Tamandua tetradactyla: one gene and its partner. The protein of the gene in region 2 interacts with the protein of the main gene of each other region in a pairwise test. Links are inferred from orthologs where the notes say so. Each region holds a gene or a part of one and is shown on either strand. Other genes may lie near its edges.

Evidence for each region. The genes of interacting proteins can lie anywhere in the genome.
Region 1: the proteins of LMO2 (region 2) and PRKG1 interact in binary tests that used the Homo sapiens proteins (3 or more experiments, as listed by UniProt). The two-hybrid records come from large-scale screens. The link is inferred for Tamandua tetradactyla from reciprocal best matches to the Homo sapiens genes LMO2 and PRKG1.

What each region holds. Positions count from the first base shown.
Region 1 is NC_135339.1:45,953,363-45,961,416, forward strand, and holds the start of PRKG1 (cGMP-dependent protein kinase 1), read right to left. Parts: upstream 3,092-8,054; 5' UTR 2,698-3,091; coding exon 2,387-2,697; intron 1-2,386. UniProt on the Homo sapiens protein: Serine/threonine protein kinase that acts as a key mediator of the nitric oxide (NO)/cGMP signaling pathway. GMP binding activates PRKG1, which phosphorylates serines and threonines on many cellular proteins.
Region 2 is NC_135334.1:110,238,796-110,245,982, forward strand, and holds the start of LMO2 (rhombotin-2), read right to left. Parts: upstream 3,092-7,187; 5' UTR 3,085-3,091; coding exon 3,078-3,084; intron 2,955-3,077; coding exon 2,726-2,954; intron 1-2,725. UniProt on the Homo sapiens protein: Acts with TAL1/SCL to regulate red blood cell development. Also acts with LDB1 to maintain erythroid precursors in an immature state.

The DNA.
Region 1 (8,054 bases), on a different chromosome or scaffold from region 2:
ACAAATTTTCGGCTATTTAGATAGTTTCATTTTAGCTTGAACTCACATTAACAAACTATGAGTAAGTTTAAGAAAGGTGAAAAATTTAACCTGTTGCCAGTTAAACCTATATAATTGAATTTGCATTGTGAAATGAATTGAAACGCAAACAGATCTTCAGTTTGGCAAGTTTCCTTAATTCTTTGTGGCACTCTTGTGCATGACTATTCAAATGATATAAGATATAATCATTTTTCATACAATATATTTCTCTTTCCCCTAAGAAAAATATACCCTACCACTTCAGCCAAGTTTTATTCTAGTTTTCTTTACGTAAGTGTGAAAAAAGAACAGATGTTTTCCCAAAATTATTTAAGCTTGGAAGACATTCTATCATTTTCTTCAATATAATCCTTCAGAATCACCAAAATGATCATGGCAATATCTTTATAACTGACTCCTGTAAAACGTAAGTTATTAAATATCAAACGGCACAGGAATGTTCATTAGCTCAAATTTTACTATAATGGAACATTGTGAATTATTTTACACGCGAATTTCATTTTCCACAATGGGCTTTTTTAAAATCTAGTTCTACAGGTCAGGCAATAAGAAGCTTCTAAAATTTACCAAAATCTACAGTTTGTTCCCCACTTGCCTAGAAGTTCTTTAACATATTTAACTGGAGTTATCAGCTGGCTTATCAGGCTTCACTATAAAACCTATTAAAATAATCTTTTTATAAAAGCAGAGTTTGCTCTGCACTGCTCCGAAGTCCTGCAGACACTAAAATGAGATCCTATGGAATGCTTAAAGATGCAGAGAGCTGTCTTCAAGTTATTTTTTCATTATGCAAAACTTGGCCCAGGAGAGATGGCCATGCACCTCGTTAGCAAAAACAGGCAAGCATGTCAGGACTGCAAATTAATTTACCAGAGAAAGCTGAAGTGGCTTCACACCACTCAGGTTTTTTAGGCAGATGTAAGTCTGGTGAACTATTAAGGCCAATTTGTGCAGGTCCAAATCTCAGAAAGGTTTGATCCTTACTACCCTTTCTCCAGTCCCTCAAGAATACAAACTCCTCCTTACCCCGGGGCTGCACAGGGAACAGCAAATGCTCCACGGGAACCAACATGCAAAGGTACAACTCTAAGTTTTCAGAAGTGCAATTATTACATTCTCACGACCTCCAAAAAATCCAATAAATACAATTGGGGGCTAATAAAATATATATTCTTTCTTCTTATATTAACTCTCTGTGTTTATGATGTGAAGGGTTCCAAGGGACCTTGTATTATTATGTAACACGTGCCATCCAGACAGTGTGATGCAGTTAGCATAAAGTAGAAAAATCTTTCACTTTTTAATGTCATTATCTGGTAATTAAAAATAGCATTCATTCGTGCACTTTCCTTCATTTTAGGTTAACCTTATACTCCCGCTGCTTTACTCTCAATATGGATTCTGAGTTGAGTGTTGTATAACAAGTTTCATTCAATTTTCCCAGCCAAGTTATGTGAAGCTCACTGACATCAAAACTACACAGTTCTCTAAAATGCTAGAATAATACCAGGGTGATCACACTAACGGCTAGAACCAAGGCAAACTGTGCCCACATCCAAAATAAAGGTGTGTTCCTATCTATATTTGACCCTAGAAAACATGCAACCCTCGTGGGGGATGGAGGCGTTCCATTAGTAACATTATGCAAAGGAAAACAGGCAATATTGTCTCAGATGCTAGGAAAAAAATTTTAAATGAACAGACTAGGTTTCCATTTATGGATTGTAAATGTCATCCAATTCAGGAAATCAAGAAATCACCCCCTTGTATATGCGTATTTGCTTTTTAAAAAACACTTTGATGAGGGCAGAACATCAGGTTTGAAGGGTGCCAGCGTGAATCGCCACCATGTAGAGAAATCCGAGGGAGCCAGAAAAGCATAGAAAGTAATGATGGTAACAGACGCATTTCATTTCAAGTCTGATGAGCCTGCATTTAGGCTTTTCCGGATGGGCAGGTTTGCCAAGGCATTTGGGAGACGGGGCGTTTTATTCCTCCTCTCACATTCACTCGCATACAATACACACACGCACGGACACACACCTGGGGCGCGTTCAAACTCCATGTACAGTAGGTGGCATATAAGAATGTATATGTGCATATATATATTTTTTTAATAAATACTTTGATATCTGACAAAGACACGAAAGCAACGTATGTGCAGTAAGTCTGGCTCTGAGAAATGTGCATGGCCCCGCAAGAAGTGCCCATTAAAATGAAACATTTCAGAGGATGAGGACAGACACCGCAAGCGGGAGGGGCGGGGGCCGACAGACATTACGGAGACCCGCAGCTCCCCCACCGACAGGGCGCCACACCGACCCGGAGCGTAACCCCCGCTTACTGTGGGCTCTTGGGGTAGAAGGGCAGGGTCACATGGCTGAGATCCTGGATGTCGAAGGCGGTGGGCTCCGCGGAGATCGCCTGCCGCTTGGTGCGCGGCTCACCCTGCAAGGTGCTCGCGCTCTGCTTCTGCGCCTGCTGGGTGGCCGGCCGGATCACCGAGCGGTACTTGTCCAGCTCGTTCTGCAGCTTCTGGATCAGTTCGTCCTTCTGATCCAACTCCAGCTCCAGCTCGTCGATGAGAGCATCCCGCTGCCTCAGCTCCTCGATCTTCTCCTGGAGCGCGTACTGTAAATCTCGCAGGGTGCCCATGCTCCTCCGGGCAGCCGGGGACTCCTTCCTGCCGCTGCTCCGCGTCTTGGGGCTTCCTCCCCTCTTCGATCAACTTTCCCCAAAGTCGCCGCTGCCTCCCGAGTGCAAAAGCTTCCTACTTGAGACCAAAGCCAGCCCTGGCTTCTGAGCATGCCCAGTCCGCCGGCTCCAGCCACCGAGAGTTTCAGTGTGCAGACCGTACTTCTCTGGGTTTACTGGGAGGCTGAGCGTGGGGATGAGCAAAACAGCAGGTCCAACCCGGGATTAAGCCTGAAACAGAGTGGGCGCCGCGGCGCCGGGGAAAGAGCCGCGAGGCTCGGCGGCAGGGAAGAGGGAGAACGGGACTGAAACGTGGAGCTCCGAGGCAGCGGCTGGTCTACACGGGTCGCTGGCGTCCGGCGCCAAAGGAAACCGGCGGTGCGTGTGGAGAGCCAGATAAACCTCTGGGGCGCGCTGGGTGCTGTGCAGGCGGAGGGAGGCTGGAGCACTCCTTTGGGGGGTGGGGAGGTGGGGAAGAGAGAACGCGGAGGACCCCGGGCAAACGGGAGGCGTCAGCCGGTGCCAAAGCATGCCAGTGTTGAGGGCATTGGGCTAAATTCCTGTAGACACGCGAGGGCAGCGCGGACTCCGCATTCTAAGGGCTCCGACTTCTGGAGGCGTTTTGACCGCCTGCTCACCCAGAAAGGCTCCGGAGCTGTGTGGTTGATTACTAGCTTCCCCCGAGCCACCCTTCCCACTAGGAGCGCCTCACACAGGTGGCTAACGCTTGAAAAGAAACTTGTCACTTAAGAGATGAGAGCGAGTAGGTACCTGGAAGGGATTTCTTTTTAACTCAGGTGCCTTTGAGGATGGAGGGTCTGTGTTTGATTCTTGATCCACTAGCATTGCCGCTCCGCACTTACCTGCCTTTCCGCCCCGTCCAAACTCAGATTAATGAAATCATCTTAGGGCAATGGCCAAAAGGCAGTTGGGCCCCAGAAGGCCACTCTGCTTCTCCACTCTCTCCCACTTGAGCCAGTATCTATGGAATCGTTCACTGCCAGTTGCTGAAAATGTGGGGCTTAAAAATCATCGCCGAGCTCCAAAAAGTTCATCGAGAAATTGAGCTGTATCCTTCAAAACATTATTTCTTTGACAACCAAGCCATTAGGACCATATCTTTCCACTTCTGTGGCAAGGGAGAAACCTGACACAAACTCTGAAGGAAAAAATCATACAGTGAAAGGAAGGAAAGTCTAGAAGGCCTGATGTAAACTGTACAACATATACAGTCTGTCACCCCACCTCCACCCACTCCATCCCCACCCTTACCAGCTCAATATTTCCTAAAAGGATGACAATTAGGACCTTTGTCCAAATGTAACTCTCCCATCATGGAAACACATGTTTAGAATCCCCAAACATTTATCTAATATCTAACCTAAGTTCCTAATATTTACCTAAATTTTAACCAACTCATCCAATTCTATAGCATCTTTTCTGGCCCTGTAGTTACTCTCTTTGGGGCACCCGAAGTTATCCTCCTTAATGTTTTACTTGGCCATTCCTTAACACGAAAACAAAGTAGATAATAATAATAATAAATAACATTGAATTGTAATCCAGAGCCATTCACTGGAATCTGAACTTAGCCCAGGACATAAATATGAACCTCAAAAACCTTGCTCACTTTTGCTTTTGAATTTGCAACTGAACAAAAAAGAAAACAAAACAGAGAGAAAGAAAGAAAAATAGTCAATAGTATTTTCACAAAATTTTTCAGTTTAAAATATGTTTGTAATTAGAAGCGTAAATGACAAAGGATATACAATCCTAAATACTGTCCCATGCAGATTATGATCTAATTCTCTTTCAGTACAGATGCATGACACTCAATTTTTCTGCTTTTCAACACAGATATTGTGGAAAATGCATTTATTTCAGAATATAATAAATAAAGCGGATATTTCCAAAACATTTTTATTTGTAATGAACAAAACATGAAAAACTTACAATTACTGACAGCAGTAAAAACAGTTCTGAATTATTATTGTTTTAGTTAAAAGTAAACCAAGCAGAAGTACTTAGTTTGCATTAATGAGTCTATTTTAAAAGTGCTACTGTGATATTTTCCTTCTCTCAGACAAAAGGCCAAAGTTGTATCTTATTTAACCTACAGGAATTCTTTAATTCCATGGTTAAAATATTTAAAACAAAATGATTTTTTTCTATAGATATATTAAAGGGGTCCATGCAACCATGAGTTTATCTCTAAAAATATATCACAAAGGGATGTACAGAGGGTATCAATTAGACAAGTCCTAAGCAATATCTGGTTTTTAAGGTTCATGTGAGGTTTAAATAAGGGTTACCCTAAGAAGCACAGAATGGAGAAGATTATTCCTCATTTGTAGAAAGCCTGCTATAGATACAAAGAAAAATAGAGACAAAAACATTGTTCCAAAATAAAACAATAATAATAATACAACCAAAAATATTCAGGTATTTGCAAGAGAACTGAGATTTTAAAAGTAGAATGTGTGAATATTGCCATTATTTAAGCTACCATATTCACACACAATTACAGGATTTATCTACATTACACTTTCATTTTAAGTGGAATACCTTGTAATATAAAATAAATTCCACGATGAATCCAATACTGAGATTCAACAATCTGTTGTAATAACCACAAAAAAAATTAATGGCTGAGAAGATATGACTATTACAACTGGCTTATGTTTTAAAACGTATTCAAGGTATTATGGAATATATTCAGTTATGATTAGCCTACATTATGAAAAAAATAAAATTTTCTTTATAATTGAATATAGTCAGTTAGGAATAGCCTACATTATGAAAAAAATTAAATTTCCCTTAAATATTTGATAATATTAAATGCAAAATCCAGAATTCAAGGCTTGTCTTTTGATTCTTGAATTCAAAATTAATATTTTAAGTATGTTTTACATTTTATATATTCTTGACAGGTCATTTAGATCTTAAGGATCTGGGTTCCATCTCAGCATTTAAGCAATTCCAATATTTTCTTAAACACCTTTAGCATTGTAATTGGCAAATTCTGGAAATAATTGTATATAATAAATCAGGGCACTACAATTACATTCCAACAAAAACAAATTTTATCATAACATTTTTACTAGGTGTCCTATAGTAGTCTTATTTGGCTAAATTACAAGATGAAAAATCAGGTACAAGTCTACTTTCTGCTCATTAGAAAAGTAGTCCATCAATGTGGAATGGACTACTCATTGTGGACTGAGCTCTCTGCCTTGGAAGTTAGTTGTTAACAGAACAATACAAGTCTAAAGAAATGGTGTTCATACTCTGGAATTTCATAGTCAACCCACAAGCTGCATTTCAACATTATCCCCTTGGAACAGTTTTCATAGAAGCAAAGTGCTACCATAGCCCAACCAAGCTGTGGCATATTAAACTCCAATATGCTCTTCTATTTTGCACCCAGTGCTCATGATTAAGAATAAATATTAACATGCCTTCCTTGATGGAATGTCAAATAATTGAATGAGACATTCAATAAAGCAGCTTTACCATAATACTATTAAAAATAATAGTCTGTAGAATTGCACTAAAAGCCTAATTAGCCTCAAAAGAACTAGGGTAATTTTATCATCTACTTTTGCATTCCACTAATGCTACATTCCCTGGAAGAGTCCTAAATTTGAAGTTTCCTTTGTCACTTTATGGGTATATCTTAAACAGGGAGGAAAAAACCAACTAGCTGAGCTTTGGGGGTAATGAAAGCCACCCCTGGGAAGACTGATAGAGGAAGCAAGTTCCTCTTGCTCTAAGTTGCGAATCATAATCAAGCTCACAATAAAAATAAACAATTTCTTTAAAGCTTAATGTACGAGAGGCACAGTTCATGTAACCCTACAGGGTGGGTATTACTATTTCCATTTATAGTTGAGAAAACTGAGGCACAATATCACCCACCTAAAGAATGGCAGAGCCTGGATTCTAATCCAGACCATCTGGCACAGAGCTCAAGCCTCTTACTTGCCCTTGACAGTTCTGGTACTGGATTCAGGGAAAAGATGAGCATTAAGTAGCCCTACATTGGGATTGGAGGAAGAGGAGAAATTTAGAAAATTCTGAAAGAGCAGGAACACAGTATTTAAAAGATGTTTCCCCAAAGCTGTCTTCACTCCACCGTATTTCGCCCTGGTTTAGGGTGACTAAAATGGCCTGGCATTGTCCCAGTTTTTAAATTAAAAGTCCTGGGTAAACCAAGATAGTTAGTCACCCAATTTAATTCAGCCTACCTGGGTCCCTCTACTTAAAAATATGTTCAAAGTTTGCTTGCAGAGTTACAGATGAAAAAGTAAAACCAAACAAGATCTGTGATGATGATATGTATTATTTCAGGTACGTTACAAACCCACTTATGTTTGTGTGAATATAGTTTAGGGAAGCGATTGTCCTATTGCAATACATAATAGTGCACAAGGAATTATCTTCCTACTGTAAGGGCCGGTGAGTCAGACAAAAGAATTTTAATTACACTTTGATAAATTAGTCAAGGATTCTGGGCTGTCTTTTTAATTTATTGTTTATATAGAAACCTGGAACTCAGTTTGGCTCCCTATGGACTAAGCACAGCAATTCAACTGCACTGCTAATCATTTAACTCCTATTGAATTAGATTATACCTTATGGTTGTGTTTGGGGAATAGATTTGGCCATCAGGAATGCATATTTCAATGGATATAAAAGAAAATTAGAATGGCTGGGCTGTTTTGAAATCATACTGAAATCATGCAAATGATAAGGTCTGCCTGGAAAAATAAATAAATAAATAAACCATTAATGATGAAAAACTTACTGCAGAGATTTGAAAAGTAATAGTGTACTGTACTATAATTGCTAATGTGCTTATAGTTTAATACCAAATTAACGTCATGCCTAATATTTGTTGAAATAAATTCTTATATATCCACAGCTTAAAATGATGGTAAGTTATTATTGGGACTCAGCCTAAACTAGTGCTCATGAAAATCTATGTACTCTACAACAAAAAGAAAACATTTCTTTGAAAGCTGCCCATTTCCAATAACCAAAAGAAGTAAACAGTTTTTCAGAAGAAAAATATTAGATGTTCTGCATTTTTTTTCAGAAGTAGAAATTTTTAAAATGCATAAAATGGAATTTAAAATGCCATAGTCACAAAAATACTATTTTACTGCATTTAAGTCCAGTGACTTCATCTCCACGAATATACAATATAATATCTTCCCTTTCTGATTAATAAATTACAGTTTCTATGTTCCATTTTAGTGCTTCTTCTGGAAAAGTATATCCACATTATTCCCTAAGTTAATGCATCAGTATGTTCC
Region 2 (7,187 bases):
GTGTTTATAATACCCTGGGGCAGCCTCCGGTGACTGAAGTAAAGAGCTCGCCTCCAGATCAATGCTTAGGAGATGCTAAAACCCAGTTCACACTCTGCAGATGGAGAGAGTAAAGGACTATATAAGGACACTTCATGAGATTATCTCCTTTTAGAACGAGGAAAGGTGAAACCCAAGCCAATTAAAAAAGAAAAAGGAAATCAAGCCCTTAAATAGTTGTAATAATTTACAGGCTTGACTTGCTTTACTATTCTTTGCCTCTACAGATCATACATAAAGACTTCCATTCTCCCTCTGGAAAAATAACTACTATGCCCAGCATTTTTATGTACATACATTTTATGTACATCTGTAATCAGAATGCAGCTCTTCTCATTCCACGGGCCTTGATCTTACTTGGGGCTTTCAAAACACTCACAGAACCTCCACCACACTGAATGCCCCGGTGCTGACACTGCCAACCAACTGTGAAAGAGGAGAATTTGCACTTAGCTGGTGCAAAACTGCCTGAAATTAAAATGAATTGCTCTTGTGACTCATAGGGAGGCGGTAAGGGGCACCGAGTGCATCCTAAAAGATATCTCCAAGCTCACAAAGTCTGGCTGCCCTTCTGTCTAAATGTTGGGTTTGCCTGAGCCTGGGCAAGTCTCCATCTGGAATATGGAGATGCTAATGGTAATGACTCCAGTTGGCTTTGGGTAAGTATGCAGTGAAGCATCTATCAGGATAGTGGTCCGCAGTAGAAATATTAAGCAAAGGAGCTATCACGATGGCCTGAAATGAAATAGTAAACACAGGATAAGATACTGGCTCCATCTGTTAGAGTTTATGATAACATCATGCTGTCCATGGAGGACGTTCCAAGCAAAAGACTGAGTAGGATTCACCTTCAAATTAATGTTTTATGTTTTCCTAGAGCCTATCCTGAATATTACACCTGAAAAATCACTTCTGCCTGGATTTCTGGGCATAATTTATCAACCTTTTCTGGGAAAGAGGGGGAAAAATGTGCTGGCACCATTTCCTCAACTAGCTTGTCCGTCTTCAGTTAGTACCTGTCTTCACTGGAAAATAGTGAAGAATGGAATAGTTAGTGCCCTTCAGTTAGGTGCTTGATGTATTTTATGAGGCTAGGATGCTTCAATTTTCTAACCTCAGTGAAAAAGGAAAATTTTGAAAAGACTAAACTTCCTTAGGGAAAGTGAAACCTCCAGATTTGTCTTCTAATAAAAGGATTAGTGACTAAGTTTTGGCTGGTCGAAAGGGCATTAGCTACCAATTCATCCAGTTCACTCTCTTTATTACTATGGTCTTGCCCAGTCTCTGGACTAAATTGTAATTCTAAGTTTGTTAAAAAAAAAAAAAAAAAGTGAACAAACCACCCTTTAAACTCATTGTTTGCACAGATACATACATTTAAGTAAAGGAATGTTATTTTTCTCTTGAGAATTAGTCCAAGGAAGCTGGGGGTTTGTTAACACAAACCCGGCTCCTTACAGAACTGGTGTCTTAACCTTTAAGATTGAATAGTGATGTTTATATTCTCGCTGGATTGTGGCACTTCCTGAGTTTTATGAGAACATGCTGAGCTTTCATGTCAGTAACTGAGGGTAAAACCCAGGTAAATAAACACCACCAAGGGCTGAAATTGGTGGGGTGGCGGGAGACTTCTAACAAGAAAGCACAATTCTTTAAAACAAGAAAAGAAAAAACCAAAACAAACGCCTCTTAAGAGCACAAATGGACAAGTCATTAACCAGCTGCTTTGGTCTGTGTAACAAATCCCTTCAAAGGATTAGATGGGGACTTCAAAGGAATAAAAATTCTCAAAACCAGACAGTTAATGAATCTTAAAAGGGCATTTACGTTGACGGGAAAATGAGATCTTAAACAACCCTTTCTCCCCATGTTATCACCAAAGAATGGGTTGGGGGTGTAAATTGGAAATAGGGGAACATTCCAAGTCAGTAGGAGGCTCAGAAAACAGACGCGGCAGATGCTCTTGGGAGTCCTGGTTCCCCGACTCTAAAGCCTTTGGAGACCATGAAAAACCCACGAGACTCCCCGCCCTAGAAAAATTCACCTATACACAAAATGGTGCGCTGCCCTTCGAGATAGAGAAACCCCATCAGCGGACCCCAAGAAACATGAACTCTGATTAACTCCGGATTTATCGGCTCTAGAAGTGTCTGGAGGCCAGAGTAGGCTCGGAAGTGGACGCTGGGACCCCGTAGGCGGCGAGGCACCCGCGCGGCCCGGGGTCGCTCCACCTGCGGGCTGGGAAGGGGGCCGTGGGGGGTGCGGGAGGCCTCCACTCGGAACGTCCCCCTTTCCAAGACCAACTGGACAAAGAGAAAGCGGGCCGGGGCGGGGGGAGGCGAAAGGAGCAGAATCCAGCCCTGCACTCTCGCCTGACCTGCACCTACGCGCCTCCGAGCTCCCCCGGTGCCCGCTCCGGTGCAAACTTTCTGGCCCGCGGAGGGCTCGCGGAACGTCCCAGGCAGCCGAGAGGGGCCCGCGGGGTGCAGGGCCAGAACCCCTTTCCCGCACTATCCCCCGCCAGCCCGAGAGCAAGGCGGAGGGCGCCAAGGGCACGCCGCGGGCGCGCACCTGAAGCCCCTCGCGGGGTGGTGGTGCTGGTGGGGGGTAGCCGTGCCACCCCACTAACCACGGGGCGCGAGGCCGTGGAGAGCGTGGGTGAAAGCGACAGGGGTGCCACACTCACTCAGACGGGTCCAGGCTCTTCCTCTCGATGGCCGAGGACATTGGGGAGGGAGGCGGCGTGCCGGACGGGGGAGGCGCTCCCTTTGTGGTGCGGGGCTGGCCGGCTGCCAGGGCTCGGACCCCCTCGGGTGCTCGGGCGCCGCCGCTGCCGCCGCTCTTGCGCCTCCGCTTGCTCGGGAGCTCCGGCGGCGAGCTCGGCCCTCCGCGCTCAAGGACAGTCACCGCGCTCCCTTCAAACGCCAAAGAGAGAGAGCGAATCACCGGGCTGCGGGCGCGCCGCGGCCGAGACCGGGGCCGGGACGCGCAGCCTGGCCCGGGGCATCTGCAGCAGCTGCTGCCGCTCAGGACTTAACCTTCCATCCCGGTCCCGCCGCCACCGCCACCGCCCGGTCCCGTTCGCGCGCCGTCGCCGGATCCGCGCCGCCGGGCCGCCCCGCGCCCCTCGCACCTTCCGCCCGGGTCGCAGCGCGCAGCTCGCCGCGGAGGGCAGGGAGGGGGCGGCGGGCGGGGAGGGGCCCGTGCGTCGCGCCCCTGGGCTCCCTCCTCGCCGGGAAAGGTCTATTTTCGCTCAGCTTCCCTCTGTCTCTGGTTTCATTTCCTTTTTCCTGATCACGATTCAAATACAATAGAAGGAAATCACATTTAAAGAGACAGCTGCCCGGCCATCCTCCCCCCCCTTCCCCCTCCCCCCCTTTTTAAACGGGGCTCCTGGGGATTAGCAATACAAACAGCGGCCGCGCAGGACGGACTTCGCTTCTTAAAGGGGCCAGCGTCAGGGACCGGGTGAGTCGCTCGGTCAACACCCCCTCTTTGGAGAGGAGGCTGGGCTGCCTCTAAATCCTTTAAGACTCCCCCTCCTCCGCGTTGCCCTTTCAGTTCAACTAAGGCTGAAAGTAACCAGCGGGCAGGTCGAGGAAGAAAGAAAAGACAAGGAGGTGAAAGAAGCACCTACAGAAACGCAAGCGTTCGGAGTGGCTTCCTCGCCCTTCCGGGCTTCGAGGTCCCCCGACGCTCCGCGCGAGGATGCCCGGGACAGCGCGGCTCGGCTGGCTGCTAGCTGGTGGCTGCGTCCGCACTCCACGAAGGCAGCTCGGGCCGAGCGGGCTGGGCACTGCCGGAGCTGTGCCAGGGGCAGCTAATCCCAGAGGAAAATCGGAGGGGAGGGATCACTCGGGTCGGGGTCTCGTCTCCATCTGCCGGCTGACGGAATTCCCTCCCTCAGCATCCTTGAGAAAGTGCACGGAGGCGGACCCCTGCGGTTCGACTGCGCACCCCACCCCCTGCCCCCATGAAATACCAGTAAATACCCTGCACAGCCCACTGCTTTCCCCATGATCAAGAGCAATAGGGAGGTCGTTTTGTCCTGGGCCAGGGAAAGGGAAAGAAGCCAGACCTGATGTCAAACCTCGAGAGCAACATCTTGGAAGAGTGAGGAATGCAGAGGAAGGAGAGAGGAAGAAGCTAATTGAGTCTGCCCTCCGGTAGAGACCAACTTCAGTTCCCTGAGCCTCAAACTTGGAAATGTCTGCCTTCAGAAATGATGATTAAAGGCCTGTTTCTGCCTGATGCCAGTTATAAGTCTTGCAAAAATGAAACCACCGAGAATTTTCAGAATCCATAGTTTTCTAGGCTCCCTCTGAATCATGGTCATAAGCATTTTATTCCCACCTTAAAAGTTGGCATTAAAGCGTCCTGAATAGGTTTCCCCCAATGGTGGAGGCTGAAATCAGAAGTGACTCCTTGGTCACTTCATTTTCCCTGGTCAGAGCCAAATCTTCACTGACTTCACAAGTATAACCAGAATTTACTGTTGTCTAGCATCGATCACTCTTGTCATTTTTCTCATCTTCAGGTCCCAAGGCTTGAGTCTCTGATGAGTATAATTAAAATCTCTGTGTATGTGTGCTAAAGGAAGTCCAAGGCCAAGACCTTCGGTACATAGGAGGACATTTTCCTGATCAGACCTTTGTTTTTAATTTAAGAAAGAAAACCCCTAAAATGTTTAGGCAGGCCTAAAGTATGTGATAAATACATAACCTATGACTCTACAACCAGAAATCAAAATGAACATGCAGGTTGCAATAAGTGGTTTACCTGGTTTAATCAGTCCATGTGGTTAAATATGAGGACTTTGGAATTGGGCTGCCTGGATTTGATTTAGGCTCTCACTTGTCAGTGTGGTCTACGAAAGTTACTTAATTTGAGAAGGCAGTATTTTGTAGTGGCCAAGAGTACAAAATCTGGAGCCAGAGTGCCAGTGTTTTACCCCTCCTCTTCTCAGCTGTGTTAACCTGGGCTAACACAGGATTTTAACCTCCCAGTAGCCTCATCTGTAAAATGGGAATAATAGAACCTATTGCTTGGGATGTTATGAAGATTAAATGAGGTAACACATGCAAGCATGGTATTTAGACTTGACAACAGGGTGAGAGTTATAATAGGACCTCCTCATAGAAGTTTGCAAAGATTAAATGAGCTATGAGCTTATATGCATGGAAAGCACCTAGCACGTAGTAAGAGCTCATAAATGGCAACTGCTATGTTATAATGAAATGCTTCATTGAGAGAATTATAAAAGAGCTTGAAATTTAATTGGAAAATGGGGCTTTAAAATAAGACTCTCCCAGCTAAATTCAAAAGTATTCTCTACATTGAAAAGGTAAACAGACCTAGGGTGCTTACACCTCACCCCTACTGCTCGTAAACAAAACACGTAAGCTTTTTCCATTTTCATGTTCATTATCCTGGTGACTAGATGATATGTTTGCATCTGCTTGCTTTGATTAAATCTGATAAGTTGCTACCTCCTTTCAAACCAGTTGTTAAAATAAATCTATCCTTGGATTCCAGGAGGTAATCTCAGAATGGCTAACTTTTTGGCATAAAATTTCCTTTTAGTAATATGCTTCTGCATTGACCTGAGTGTATAAAAAAAGAGAGATTATTGCATATGATTCTGGGTCACTTTCTTATCTTTCACAACTCTTTGGGGAGAACTTCCTTACAGAAGGTGAATGTTTGAAATGGTATCTTAAGATTTCAATTTCACACACAGTGGTTGTAAGAAATAACTGCCTACCGGTGGGATTTCATTTCTATTCAACGGACAATTAAGTCGCTCACGTTTAAGTTTAACATTTAGAATCAAGTCTCAAAAATGTGTTTTTATTCTGAATAATTTTTAAGCAAGGATGACCTTAATGCTACACATCTTCCTGTAGCAACCGACACAGGCTTTGTACAGCAGAGAAACTCAGTAACTGGGAAGCACTGTGGACATGTGAAATGGTTCTTGAGTGCTGGGGAAATCTGAACTTGATCCCTCCCCGGTTGGATTGAAATTTAATTCCTTCTCCTACTCCCCAACTGCTTGCAAATCTTAAATACCCTAAAATTGAGAAATTTCTACGTTTTCTTACAGAATATGAATGTCAGAAGACTGAAGCTGTCTGCATGATGAATTTGCCTCCCGCCAGCATTTTCTGTTCTTTTGATTATAACAGTTACAATTATTTTCTAGAGAAGAGCATTTTCAAGTGATGAAGGCTACATCCCTTGTAGCCTTCCCTTTATAATCCCTTTGCTAAAATGAACTTCTAATAGAAATGAAAATGTAAATATCATTGGGAAACTGCCAAGAATGACAATTTACCTCTTTTTCTCCCCCAACAATTAGAAGCCAAGTTGTAACATATGCCAGTTTGTTGTGACATTCACATTTAGGAACAAAAATAAAGATCTATCTCAATATGACTTTAGCTCCCTTTCAAAATTCTTCTAAATTATTCAGTTGTCACAGGTATCTAGCTCTCAATCATTTCAGAAGGGTTCAGGGACAGTTGATAGGACGTGATTTCACAGAATTTTAGACCTATTAGTAACCTTAGTGATAAATTAGCCAAGTTTCCTGTACATTACAGAAGAGCCCTAAATAAATCTTAAAAAAAAAATTCTTACCAGCTGAATCTTAGGAGAATGAGCATAGGAGTCAGACAGGTATAGCTCGGTTATTTACTAGCTGTGTGATTTTGAGAAGTTATTTCACCTCTCTGAACTTCAGTTTCTCTGTCAAATGGAGGTAGTAATAATGTCCAGCAGGTCCGGTACTAGGGTGAGGTCACAGGGGTACCTGCTCACCTCTCCAGAATTTTGAGATGATTCAATACAATAAAGTGTGTTAAAATGCTTTGCACAGTAAATGCTCAGAAATGATTGCTCATGTTATTACCCTGTCTTTCAGAAGTAATCAGCCCGGTATCGAAAAGCAGCAATTTCCTAGCCAATTGAGATATCCTCCAAAGAATGCTGAGATGGAGGTGCTACAGAAAAATCAGAAGCCTTCTTAAAGCATCAGCAGCTCTCTGGCTGGGGAGCCCACCTCTCCCAGCCAGAAATAAAGGGCTGTGCCCATTTAGGCCCTGGGCAGGCTTCTGGCTAATCTGCTGCTACTTTAACCTGCTCCC